Arabidopsis thaliana: one gene and its partner. The protein of the gene in region 1 interacts with the protein of each later gene in a pairwise test. Each region holds a gene or a part of one and is shown on either strand. Other genes may lie near its edges.

What was found. Proteins that work in one complex are often made in the same cells at the same time.
Region 2: the proteins of RABA2c (region 1) and AT2G28960 interact in a protein complementation assay, tested with the Arabidopsis thaliana proteins (one large-scale study listed by BioGRID).

What each region holds. Positions count from the first base shown.
Region 1 is NC_003074.8:17,245,721-17,250,539, forward strand, and holds RABA2c (RAB GTPase homolog A2C), read right to left. Parts: upstream 3,104-4,819; 5' UTR 2,798-3,103; intron 2,676-2,797; 5' UTR 2,643-2,675; coding exon 2,478-2,642; intron 1,468-2,477; coding exon 979-1,467; 3' UTR 508-978; downstream 1-507. UniProt on the Arabidopsis thaliana protein: Intracellular vesicle trafficking and protein transport.
Region 2 is NC_003071.7:12,437,180-12,444,521, reverse strand, and holds AT2G28960 (Leucine-rich repeat protein kinase family protein), read left to right. Parts: upstream 1-1,929; 5' UTR 1,930-2,174; coding exon 2,175-2,265; intron 2,266-2,571; coding exon 2,572-3,100; intron 3,101-3,194; coding exon 3,195-3,667; intron 3,668-4,008; coding exon 4,009-4,153; intron 4,154-4,249; coding exon 4,250-4,321; intron 4,322-4,508; coding exon 4,509-4,580; intron 4,581-4,683; coding exon 4,684-4,761; intron 4,762-4,840; coding exon 4,841-4,998; intron 4,999-5,102; coding exon 5,103-5,335; intron 5,336-5,411; coding exon 5,412-5,538; intron 5,539-5,636; coding exon 5,637-5,702; intron 5,703-5,778; coding exon 5,779-5,968; intron 5,969-6,055; coding exon 6,056-6,464; 3' UTR 6,465-6,804; downstream 6,805-7,342. Other genes in the region: AT2G28970 (Leucine-rich repeat protein kinase family protein), read right to left, coding at 223-414, 534-603.

The DNA of each region.
Region 1 (4,819 bases):
TCGAAGGATATGGAAGTTATCGATTAGAAAGATGAGGTTTTACTATCTTCCTTATTGTTTCTCTGAATGGTTTCTCGGCGCATAAATATATATAATGGATCACCAAGAATTTTCATGTTATTTTGCTCATTAGAAATCACCAAGAATTTTCATGTATAGCATTTCCGAACTTAGAATTTTCTAATATGAAACAATTTAGAACTAAAAGGCCTTTTGGGTTGTGTCCAAAAAGAAAAACCTCACACGTTGACAATGTAAAATTCCATGATTTATTATAAACTCTTTCATGCATGCAATTGGTTAGTTTTTGCAAGTTGGGCTACAATGACGTTTTTGTTATCGGTTTCTCAATCACTCCTTTTCTGTCTCCATGTATCGTCGTCACTTTCCTCTATTTTACTTGAAAATAATACCATTAATTCAAAACATCTTTTAATTTGGTCGGTTCAAAACAAAATAAAAAACCATAGCCATTATTTGATAGTAACTGCAGTTCAATTGCATTTTTATTTGTGATAATAGATGGAGCAAAATTAGTTTGTCAACAATTTTTTCTTTCGTAATACTAAAATTTATTTTCTTTGGTAGAAGCTTGTCAGTGTGTAACATGAAGAGAGGATTTTGGAACCGGATACAATACATTGATAAGAGAGGAATCAATGATTTGATTAAACAAAGCCAAGACGAACCGGACTAAACCGGAGATAGAAAAAATACTTTATAAACCAGAAATCAATAGAAACACACCAAGGGAAGAAGAAGGGAAAGCAAGCAAGCACCAGAAGATTCTAAGTATACTACTAACAAGCTTTAAACTGAACACAAACCCCAAACCGAAGAGAATAAAAACAGAGTATTCTACATAGTCTTGCATAGTTACGTTTCATCAGCCAAAACTTGAAAAGAAGAGAAGCCAGTGAAAACAAAAGTTTGAATCTCTGAACAAGGAGCAACCGAAATAAACAGTTTACCTTTAGTTTAAGAAGAGCAACATGCTCGTTTCGCGCCTCCAGATGTGTCATCGACGTTAATCGTAGTTCCTTGCCCAGGGATTGCAGAATTAGCTGCTGCTGCTTCTTGTGCAGCCAGTGCCTTTTTGCTTATGATATGGTAGATCTCACCTAAGATGGTCTGAAACGCTTTCTCGACGTTTGTTGCTTCAAGAGCAGATGTCTCCAGGAAAGAGAGACCTTCCTTCTCAGCCAAACTTTGACCATCTTCCTCAGCAACGGATCTCAAGTGGTTCAGATCGGATTTGTTCCCAGCCATCATGATCACAATGTTGGAATCTGCATGGTCTCTCAGTTCGCGCAGCCACCTTAAAACATTGTCAAAGGTCTGTCTCTTAGTAATGTCGTAGACAAGAAGTGCACCCACTGCGCCTCTGTAATACGCGCTTGTGATCGCCCTGTACCTCTCCTGACCTGCAGTGTCCCAGATCTGGGCCTTAATGGTCTTTCCTTCAACCTGTGTATGCATGAGAGATTCACCGTAACAACCAGTTAGATCTTAGGTATTGAAGCATTCCCAGGTTTATGAATAAGAATGCTAATTCAACAATCAAAAGTAAAGAACATATATCTTCTCAGTTGTTAAAACCAGGTTAGTAACATTATTAACAATCAACATTTTAAATGCATCTTTCCGCATTCAACTACATAAGTGTATCATAGAATTCCTCTTGTCAAAAAATTTATCGGTTGACTTTACGAAAGTATAAAGGTGGACAAGGTCAAGCATGACAAATGATCAGGAAATAGAATGAATTATTGAGACAAGCTGTGAGAATCTTCTTATTTTTTTTAATTGGCCTTCACGACCATCCATTTATAGTCTTAAAATGAGAAAAGCATCTGTCATAACTCATAGCCAGCACAACTAAGATTTTTTCTCTTGAACAAAAGATTCAGTAGCTGAGAAAAAATCCGCCGTCTACTCTCTCAAAACACTGTATTCTTCAATCTTAAGAAACCAACGCAACCAAAAACCTTAAGACCTATCACTTAATTGCTATCCAAATCAAAGAAACTAACGAAGAAGCAACTTTAAACGAAACAAAACAGACTAAAAGCTCTAGAGCCATCACTTGAAATTAACCATCGAATACCTGAATTCTACACTACACTAATGAGGTCATGAAGCTACAAGCAAAACCAAATTACATAATTGAAATATACACTACACTAATGTGGTCATGAAGCTACAAGCAAAACCAAAATACATAACTGAAGACGGTAAATCTATGTATAGCAGTGAAAGTAAAAACCTTCACGGATTATAGCTAAAGATAAATCAAAACAGAGACAAGCTAATAAGAAGAAAAAACCTATCCCAAAATCCCATCTTTAAGCCTCTTAACATTATATACCAAACCTAAATTACTATCTCTTCGTATTACTCTGATTCTAACAGCAAATATTCTGAATTTCACTCCTAAAGTACTTAAAGAGAGAAACAGAGAAAAATTCGAATCTCACCTGAGTAGTTCTGGTGGCGAATTCAACACCAATAGTGGATTTAGATTCCAAGCAAAACTCATTCCTGGTGAATCTCGACAAGATATTCGATTTCCCAACACCAGAATCACCAATCAACACAATCTTAAACAAATAATCATATTCCTGATCTACTCTATGCGTCATTTTCTCCTTCTCTCTTCGATCTCGCAATAAAACCTACAAATTCGAAAGAAAAAAAAGACAGAAACTTTATTACTTTTCTCCAAAATCAAACCCAGATCCAACGAAATTAAGACGAACCCACAAGTAATTCAGAAGACGAAAAACGATTCGTGTACCTTAATGGCGGATGAATCGAGAAAAATATCGAATTTTTTGAGATCTATAAAGAAAGAAACTTTGAGTAAGAAGCTTTAAATGTTTGTTCTCACTCACAATCAATGGAGGAAAATGGAATTTTTCTTGTTTAATTTGATGGGCTTCGTCTTCTTCTTCGTGAGAAAGAGGAGAGGAGCAATAAAGTGAATATACGGTGTATCTATACGTATCTCTGTGTCAGGGAATAGAAACGACGTCGCGTTTGAGAAAAAGACAAAGACTTCAGTTATCGTGCTGATGTGGCAACTAATGATTCGTTAGCAGGCTGGCAAAAAGTAAGAGCATGTTCCAAGGGGTATTATTGGAAATGTAGTTTTGAGCTTTATAATTGCGTTAAAGAGCAATGATTGTATTTGTGAGTGTGGTAATGATAATAAGCAACGTCAATTTGAAAATGTCGAATTAACAACTTTAATAGAAGAAGAAAATAATGAAATGAGGATGTGATGAATTGACCACTACATTCCCAACTTCCCATAATATTTGTAAGAATATAGTTCTGATCCATATAATATAATTAAACAATGTGGTGGTTCTGGTGGCGATGGCCGATGGGCAAATGAAGATGGTAGTGGATCATGTGGCGGCTTTAGAAGGCAACATGCTACAAGTCTAGTGGAAAATACGTCGGAGATTGCGATGGTAATAGGCTAATAGCTATAGAGGACGAGACTAGTCTTTTGGTGCGACACATATAGAATGTTACATTCTAATCTGATGAAGATGAGGACCATTAAGTCATTAACGCTAAATTATTAATCCCTGAAACGTCATACTTTTTTTCAACCTAACGTAATAACTTCATTTTGTTATAAATTTGATTTTGTGCCCTCTAATAAACCAAGTTTTTTTTTTGTTTTTTTTTATCGCAAAAACATCAAATAATTAAATTTGTTCGAAAAAGTTAGTTTCGTGGGCCAACTACTCCGAAACGAGAGGGTTTATATGGGAAAAAAGTACACCTCGTACTCTTGCACTCTTTGCGAGGCAGACAACACGGACATTCATAGTGCGTGGAATATGAGATAAAGAAAACCGACCAAAACTAGCTTTAAATCTAGCAAAATCTTTTCCACCGGCCAATCTTTACTTTCATCAAGGATCTTAAGTAAGCTTAAGCAATCGGTTTCAAAATGTATAGATTGGATACTTTGTTGTAAAGTGCACTCCATTGTCCAAAGAAGAGCTCCGAGTTCTGCGTAGAGGGCATTGCGATAACAATTCTGGCTACTTTGACCAAACAGCTTGGTCGTTGAGCTAGTCAACATGAACCCCAAACTAACATTCTGGTTAATACCAGTCCACGAAGCGTCAATTTGGCACATAGCTTCTCCTCTTTGAACGTGCGCATACTCACAAGCTTCAACTACTTCAGGTTCTTCCTCCGCATCAATGTCATGTTCTAGTTCTTGGGCAACTCTCCAACTTTTCGACTCAGAAATTACATGCGCTAGAATATATGGTGTTATGTACTCCCGTAACGTATTTTCAAAAAGTATATATTTGACCTATTTAAACATTTATTACTTTAGGTTATGAATAATCCTGACGCAATTCTTGCTGATTAGTCTTGACGCAATTGTACGTTGCTATTGATTTTAAACGAATACAGCACAAAAGAAGGCAATCGCGTGGACGAAAGAGGAGCCGATACATACAATTGCATACATCTATTTGTATACTATATTTGCTTTCTATTGGATAATTCACCCTAACTATTAAGAGTACATTTAGTCACAATATCTAAATTAAATCTATAAATGTGAATATGCACATAGAGTTTTCACAAGTGGTCATATTTTAAGGATAATATTTGATACAGTTCTTAATTTCTTTGGTACATTTTTTGTTACCTCTCTAGAAAGGTTAATTAATTAGATACATCGCCTGCAAAAGTACTTTTAAGAAAAAATATTCGCGTGGAGAATATTTCGTTCGTTCATGTAAGGTCAAATGATGAACCTCTTACCCATGATTAGGCT
Region 2 (7,342 bases), on another chromosome or scaffold:
TGGTCCTGTTTTAACAAGACAAATATCCAAAGAGCTTGACCTCACTCTGTGTATGATCTCCTCGAATGTACCATTTTGTCTTCCTTCCATATCTATTCTTGCCCACTTATCAGGACCAAGATAGAGATCAAAGTTTGGATAAATATTAAGACCATCATAATTTCCATATATGAAGGTAACCAATATAAGATAATTTGTGCCACGAGTGACATTCAGACTAACAATTACGCTTTCCTTCCGGAAAGTATCTTAGAGTCAAATATGGTTTTCGGAATATTTTGTTGAGCTCTTTATCGACTCTACCACTTTCTCCAGTCTGGATAAATGTTGAATCTGATGTGAATGTTAATCCAGTAGATGGATCACTATAAGGAGATTCCTCAATAGGAAATCCGCAATCCAAACTGATGAAACCTGTTCAAGCATAAAAAGGATCGACGAAGTTTAAAAAAAAACTATATATAGAAGATATATCAATTTAAAGGATGGATGATCCTCGGTGAATATCTACTAAAGAGTTTATAAATTATTACCTTCTTGTTTTTGGGCGCCAACTATAACGGCAAAGGTTCCAATTATGGCCAACAAAAGATGGCTCATCATCTTCTTGGAAAGCTAATATGGAAATCAAGAACATAAAAAAGACTTGCTTAGTGAAAACAAGGAGCTACGTAAATGAGAAATACCTCACATACACAGATTGGAAGGAATAATACATTAAAGAAAGTCAACTTAAGCCAGACATGAAGATTGAATAATTGCGAGAATTGCTTTATTTTTGGTTTATTGTGTGAATTTCTTTGACATGTTCCAACCCCAACTTGTGTTTAAAATAATAGGTTATGATCATAAGACTCCGACATGTATAGGAATTTCCTTGTATTAAGGTTTGTATATGTCTTCTTTAAACCCTTGACCAAACATAATAAATCTTCGATTGATCGTTAGACTTGGAGCACAAGGATATAACAAGGTTTGATTTAAGTAATTAGTTTGAACCCGGTCGTTACAAAAAAGGATTTACTACATATGAAAAACAATTACATATTACAACCTATTTGAAACATTACGTCTGATTCACATAAAGAAACATTACGTCTGATCCACAATAATTATAGACGTAACTTATGTAACTTGTTGTAGAATAATTATGTAAAAGAGAGAATTCGTATATTACAACATGGACAGGAAAAAATAAAGATAAAGATCATTTTGTTTGATTCAATGATTTGCTTCTTACAAACTCAGGTATTTATACAAATAATGTGCATCAAGGTAGCCAGTACTAAATTTTAAAAATATATTTACAACCACACTTTAACTATTACAAACTTGTTAAAAAAGCAACAATAAAAAATAAGAATTATCACATAATTAATATTTTTATATAGTTAACACATACAGTTTCCGATTGTCAAAGCTCCATTAAAAAAGCAAATTGTGAACCAAGTGGATAATGGTCCAGTAGCGTTTGGAAATGATCTTTCCAAAATAAGGTTTGATCTCTTTTCCCACTAAATCCCACCTAACAAGGGATATTAACAAAGGTTGATGTAGAATTTCTTGGTTGACAATGTATAGTAATACTGAGAATATGAGCTATAACTATAAGAGGCCAGCTATCTCTTAACGTCTATGAGTAAGCCATAGATAGATAATGCATATACAGGCAAACAAAACGAATATTAGGGTTTGTCAAGAAAAGACTAATCTTAGTTTATTTTTGAAGACCAAGAATTTTACATTATTGCAGAGGTATTGCGATTATAATTGAGTGAAAGTCAACAAAATGTATTAAATCCACCAAGTTGTTGTTAAGTACAAGTCGTTAGCAGAATTATCATATAGTTTATAAAGCTTTGACATTAGATCAACTTGGCAGGTTTTACATTGTTTAAACAAAGATTACATCAGGTGCTTTGATTTATGATTAAATTGCTCTCTTTTTTCCACAAAGTGGAATATAAATGTATATATCTTTGTTAGACCATTCTTCAGTCGTGCTTGGATATGAATCTATAATTGGAGAGTATTCCACGCCAACATGTGTTTTGGATTTTAATTGATCTTCATCTAAAGTATTTCTATCATTTGTACTAGAAAATCAATATATTGTATCATATATTTCAGATTGTCTTTGGTTTCAAAAATTTGTATGTTAACTTAACTTGAAAATGGAAGGTCGTCGTCAACGTTTACTGGTGTTCATCTTTGGGGCTTTGGCCATTACACATCTTGTTCAAGCTCAGCCGCCTGATCAACGAGGTTTCTCTATATACCTTTTTTTAATAATTGCTTCATGTTCAGTTTTTGACACATAAAGACTTAAGGATTAGCCAAGTAGTTGAGTGTTCTTGCTCGACTGGTCGAGATCACTAACCGATTTCTACTTTGTTGTACGCATAGCCACCATGAAAATAATATTAACGATTACAGATATAAGAGATTTGGTTAAAGAAAATAAAGGATTCTCTGTTTTCCAAAACTTTTGATTGTCTTCCTTATAAGCTTCATGGTCTAACAAAAGGAAAACATTATTTTTCACTAATAATACATTTTGTATCTTGCCAGGATTCATCAGTTTGGATTGCGGTTTACCCGTTAATGAGTCTCCTTATACCGACCCACGAACCGGATTAACATTCTCATCTGATGCTGATTTTATTTTAAGTGGTTTACGTGGTGAAGCTGGGGATGATAACACATATATCTACAGGCAGTACAAGGATTTGAGATATTTTCCCGATGGAATACGAAACTGCTATAATCTGAAAGTAGAGCAAGGCATCAACTATTTGATAAGAGCAGGGTTCGGATATGGAAATTATGATGGTCTTAATGTATATCCCAAATTTGATTTACATGTTGGGCCTAACATGTGGATTGCGGTTGATTTGGAATTCGGAAAAGATCGTGAGATCATTTACATGACAACGTCGAACTTATTGCAGATTTGTCTTGTCAAAACAGGATCAACTATACCAATGATATCAACCTTGGAACTACGGCCACTAAGAAATGATTCATATTTGACTCAATTCGGTCCCTTAGACCTCATCTACCGGCGGGCCTATAGTAGCAATTCTACCGGTTTTATACGGTATGTAAACTCAACTTTAGCAACTCTTTTATAAAAAAAAACAATCTAACATGATTCATTTACTTTTGCATGGCTACTCCAAAAATGGTTTTAGGTATCCTGATGATATTTTTGATCGCAAATGGGACCGATATAATGAATTTGAAACGGATGTGAACACCACCCTCAACGTGAGATCCTCGAGTCCCTTTCAAGTACCAGAAGCTGTAAGTAGGATGGGAATCACGCCCGAAAATGCCAGCTTGCCATTGAGATTTTACGTGTCTCTAGATGACGACAGTGACAAGGTTAACGTGTACTTTCACTTTGCCGAAATCCAAGCTTTGAGGGGCAATGAGACTAGAGAATTCGACATTGAATTGGAAGAAGATATTATTCAGTCAGCATATAGTCCTACGATGTTACAATCAGATACCAAATATAACCTATCACCTCACAAATGTAGCTCCGGGTTGTGCTACTTGAAACTCGTTAGAACTCCAAGGTCAACTCTTCCACCGCTGATTAGTGCTATTGAGGCTTTCAAGGTTGTGGACTTTCCATACGCTGAAACAAATCCAAATGACGGTACGCCACTATTCCATTCTCTATTCTGTAAGAAAGGGCTTATTTGCAAAAAAAAAAAAAACAATCACAAAATTGGGGGAAAAATAATGGTCACAAAACGGAGAAAATATTCATGTGTTTATCGTGTTTAATTTGAAATATTGTACTACCATGTTAAAAATTGTGTTATGAAATATGACATGATATTTGTTAAAAATAGCGCGATAAATGAACCAACTTAATCTTTTTTTTTTTTGCAAATAATAGGGTGGAATTTTTGTTTATTTAGTACATACCCTCATTAAGAAACTTTAATCTTTTATATGCTAATTCTTGGCTTCCTCCTCGAACCATTATGTTAGTCGCTGCTATGAAGGATATCGAAGCATTTTATGGATTGAAGATGATTAGTTGGCAAGGAGATCCTTGTGTCCCTGAACTATTAAAGTGGGAAGATCTAAAATGCAGCTACACAAATAAGTCTACTCCTCCAAGAATTATTTCTTTGTACGATCATTATATATCTCATAAGCATATTGAAACCTAAATCTCTTAAGTCTTAAGTATCTTATATCTGAAAAAATGTTCTTATATTGTGAACAGAGATTTGTCATCACGAGGGTTAAAAGGGGTCATTGCGCCTGCCTTCCAAAATTTGACCGAGCTTCGAAAACTGTAAGAGCTATTAGTATTTTACTTAAACGCGATCCATGAGAAAACATTTATATTGTGACCAACATATTTCTAATTTTTCACATCTTATAACAAATTGGACGAAAAAAAATATCTCATCTCATACTATTTTTTTATTTATCCTATTAACGGAAAATAGATTGACTTTTTAACGTTTTATAAATACTAGAGACTTGTCAAATAATAGTTTTACTGGAGGAGTGCCCGAGTTTCTAGCCAGCATGAAGTCATTATCGATCATGTAAGTTGATATAAACAAACATAATGGCCGGCCACTTATATTTCACTAGGTATACTTGTTGTCACTTTACATTGACATTGTAATTTTGTGTTTACCTTGACAGAAATTTAAATTGGAATGACCTTACGGGTCCTCTTCCTAAATTGCTTCTTGATAGAGAAAAGAATGGGCTTAAGCTAACGTAAGATTTTCACCCTTCTTTTTTTTTTATCAACTTTCCTCAACCTATAGTCTTATTCAACAACACTTATTTTCTTAAGGATCCAAGGAAACCCAAAGTTGTGTAACGATGCGTCATGCAAAAATAATAACAATCAAACGTACATTGTACCAGTTGTTGCGTCAGTAGCTTCTGTGCTCATCATTATAGCCGTACTGATTCTCATTCTTGTTTTCAAAAAGAGAAGGCCAACGCAAGGTACATAATTATACAATGAGATATATATTCTTATCGTAACATGCATGCATGATGATGACATACCAAAAGATGCCTAATCTCATGGAACTTTTTGGTTGTGACAGTTGATTCATTACCTACAGTGCAACATGGGTTACCAAATAGACCGTCTATATTTACTCAAACGAAAAGGTTCACTTATTCAGAGGTAGAAGCATTAACAGATAATTTTGAAAGAGTTCTTGGAGAAGGAGGGTTTGGGGTAGTGTATCATGGTATTTTAAATGGTACGCAACCAATAGCTGTTAAACTACTCTCTCAATCATCAGTACAAGGCTATAAGGAATTCAAAGCTGAGGTATGTTAATACATAATACATGGAATATATTGTAACATGTGATGGCTCTTAAATTTGTTTGGACATGGGTGGTCAGGTTGAACTTCTTTTGAGAGTGCACCACGTCAATTTGGTTAGTTTGGTTGGATATTGTGATGAAGAAAGCAACTTGGCCCTGCTTTATGAGTATGCACCGAACGGAGACTTAAAACAACATCTATCAGGTATAAATTTGAATTTCCCACATTTTAAAATAGTGATTACTTAGCCATATTTTAATGTTCATGCTTTTATAACATTACTAAAAGTTTCTTAATTATAGGAGAACGGGGTGGCTCTCCATTGAAGTGGTCAAGTAGACTAAAAATTGTCGTCGAAACTGCGCAAGGTTCGTTCTTAGCTCAAATGCATTAATCACTTTATATGGATCATCTAACATGAACAATTTAATTATATAAATATAGGATTAGAATACTTGCATACGGGTTGCAAACCTCCAATGGTACATCGTGATGTAAAAACAACAAATATACTTTTAGACGAACACTTCCAAGCAAAACTCGCCGATTTTGGCCTTTCAAGATCATTTCCAGTTGGAGGTGAAACTCATGTTTCAACAGCTGTTGCTGGAACTCCTGGATATTTGGATCCCGAGTAAGTTTTACATCACCAAACTAGTTTGATTCAAATTGTTTTTCCTCATTCATTTGAAAAAAAAAATACTTCATGTTTTGTTTGTAGATATTATCGAACAAATAGGTTGAACGAAAAGAGTGATGTATATAGCTTTGGGATTGTATTATTGGAGATCATCACAAGTCGACCTGTGATTCAGCAAACCCGAGAGAAGCCGCACATAGCAGCATGGGTGGGATACATGCTTACTAAGGGAGATATTGAGAACGTTGTGGATCCAAGACTCAATAGAGATTATGAGCCTACTTCTGTTTGGAAGGCTCTTGAGATAGCAATGTCTTGCGTGAATCCTTCTTCGGAGAAAAGACCAACCATGTCTCAAGTTACTAATGAACTAAAGCAATGTCTAACATTAGAAAACTCAAAGCGAGGAGTGAGAGAAGACATGGGATCAAGAAGTTCTGTTGAAATGAGCACAAGCTTTACAACCGAAATTAACCCAAAAGCACGATAACTTGTGCCAAAAAAAATCCCATGGTTATTAAGGATTTTGGATTTCCCTGACTTACTTTACAAAAATATAATTTTTGGTGGTCATTTATTTGTACGACTTCATTGTATTTACTTGTGATTGTGGTCGTATGTGATATTAGTGTGGATGTTTTGTTTGGTTTGGTTTGGTTTGGTTTTATGTTGGTTGTGGCCTTGTGTGTGTTTTGGCGGTGATCCATCATAAATGATTCTTTTGCAAATCTCTGATGATTTTTTTCATCGGATTATGGTATTTTTATTGTTTATATATGCTCACTGATCCAAAATATGTTGTCATTGTTTATGTTACATGCTTCCCTAACTCCTTTTGTAATTGATCAAAAACTTTTGTTTGATAATTATCAAGTTTTGGACTAGTTCTTTTGGTCCATGGACTACAAATCTGCTTCCATCTAATGTTTCTCTGGACCAGTCTCATAATTATACATTTGTTGTTCACATAGTACATCTCCATAATATCATATATTTGACTTTCGGTATGAAATCTTTGTATATATATAGGTTGGACCAAGAAGTTAGGATTCATAATCATAAAAAGTAAGAAAGACGACTAGTTCACGACTCACATCAAATTCCAAAGTATAATTTTCTTCGTAAAATGAAAGTTATATTAGATGAAAATCTTGCAGGTCCATTGGATATCAATTCACGAGATATGTAAACATACCTATATTAATATCACATTATTTTGATTGTATTTGTATAAGTTTTCGCCTACTCACATGCCATGATTTTGCATAAGCTGTTTTTTTTTTTTTGCATAAGCTTATCAGGCTAGTTACGGTCACATTAGTTACTAGAACATTCAACATATATAATTTTCCATAGCAGGATCCGGGT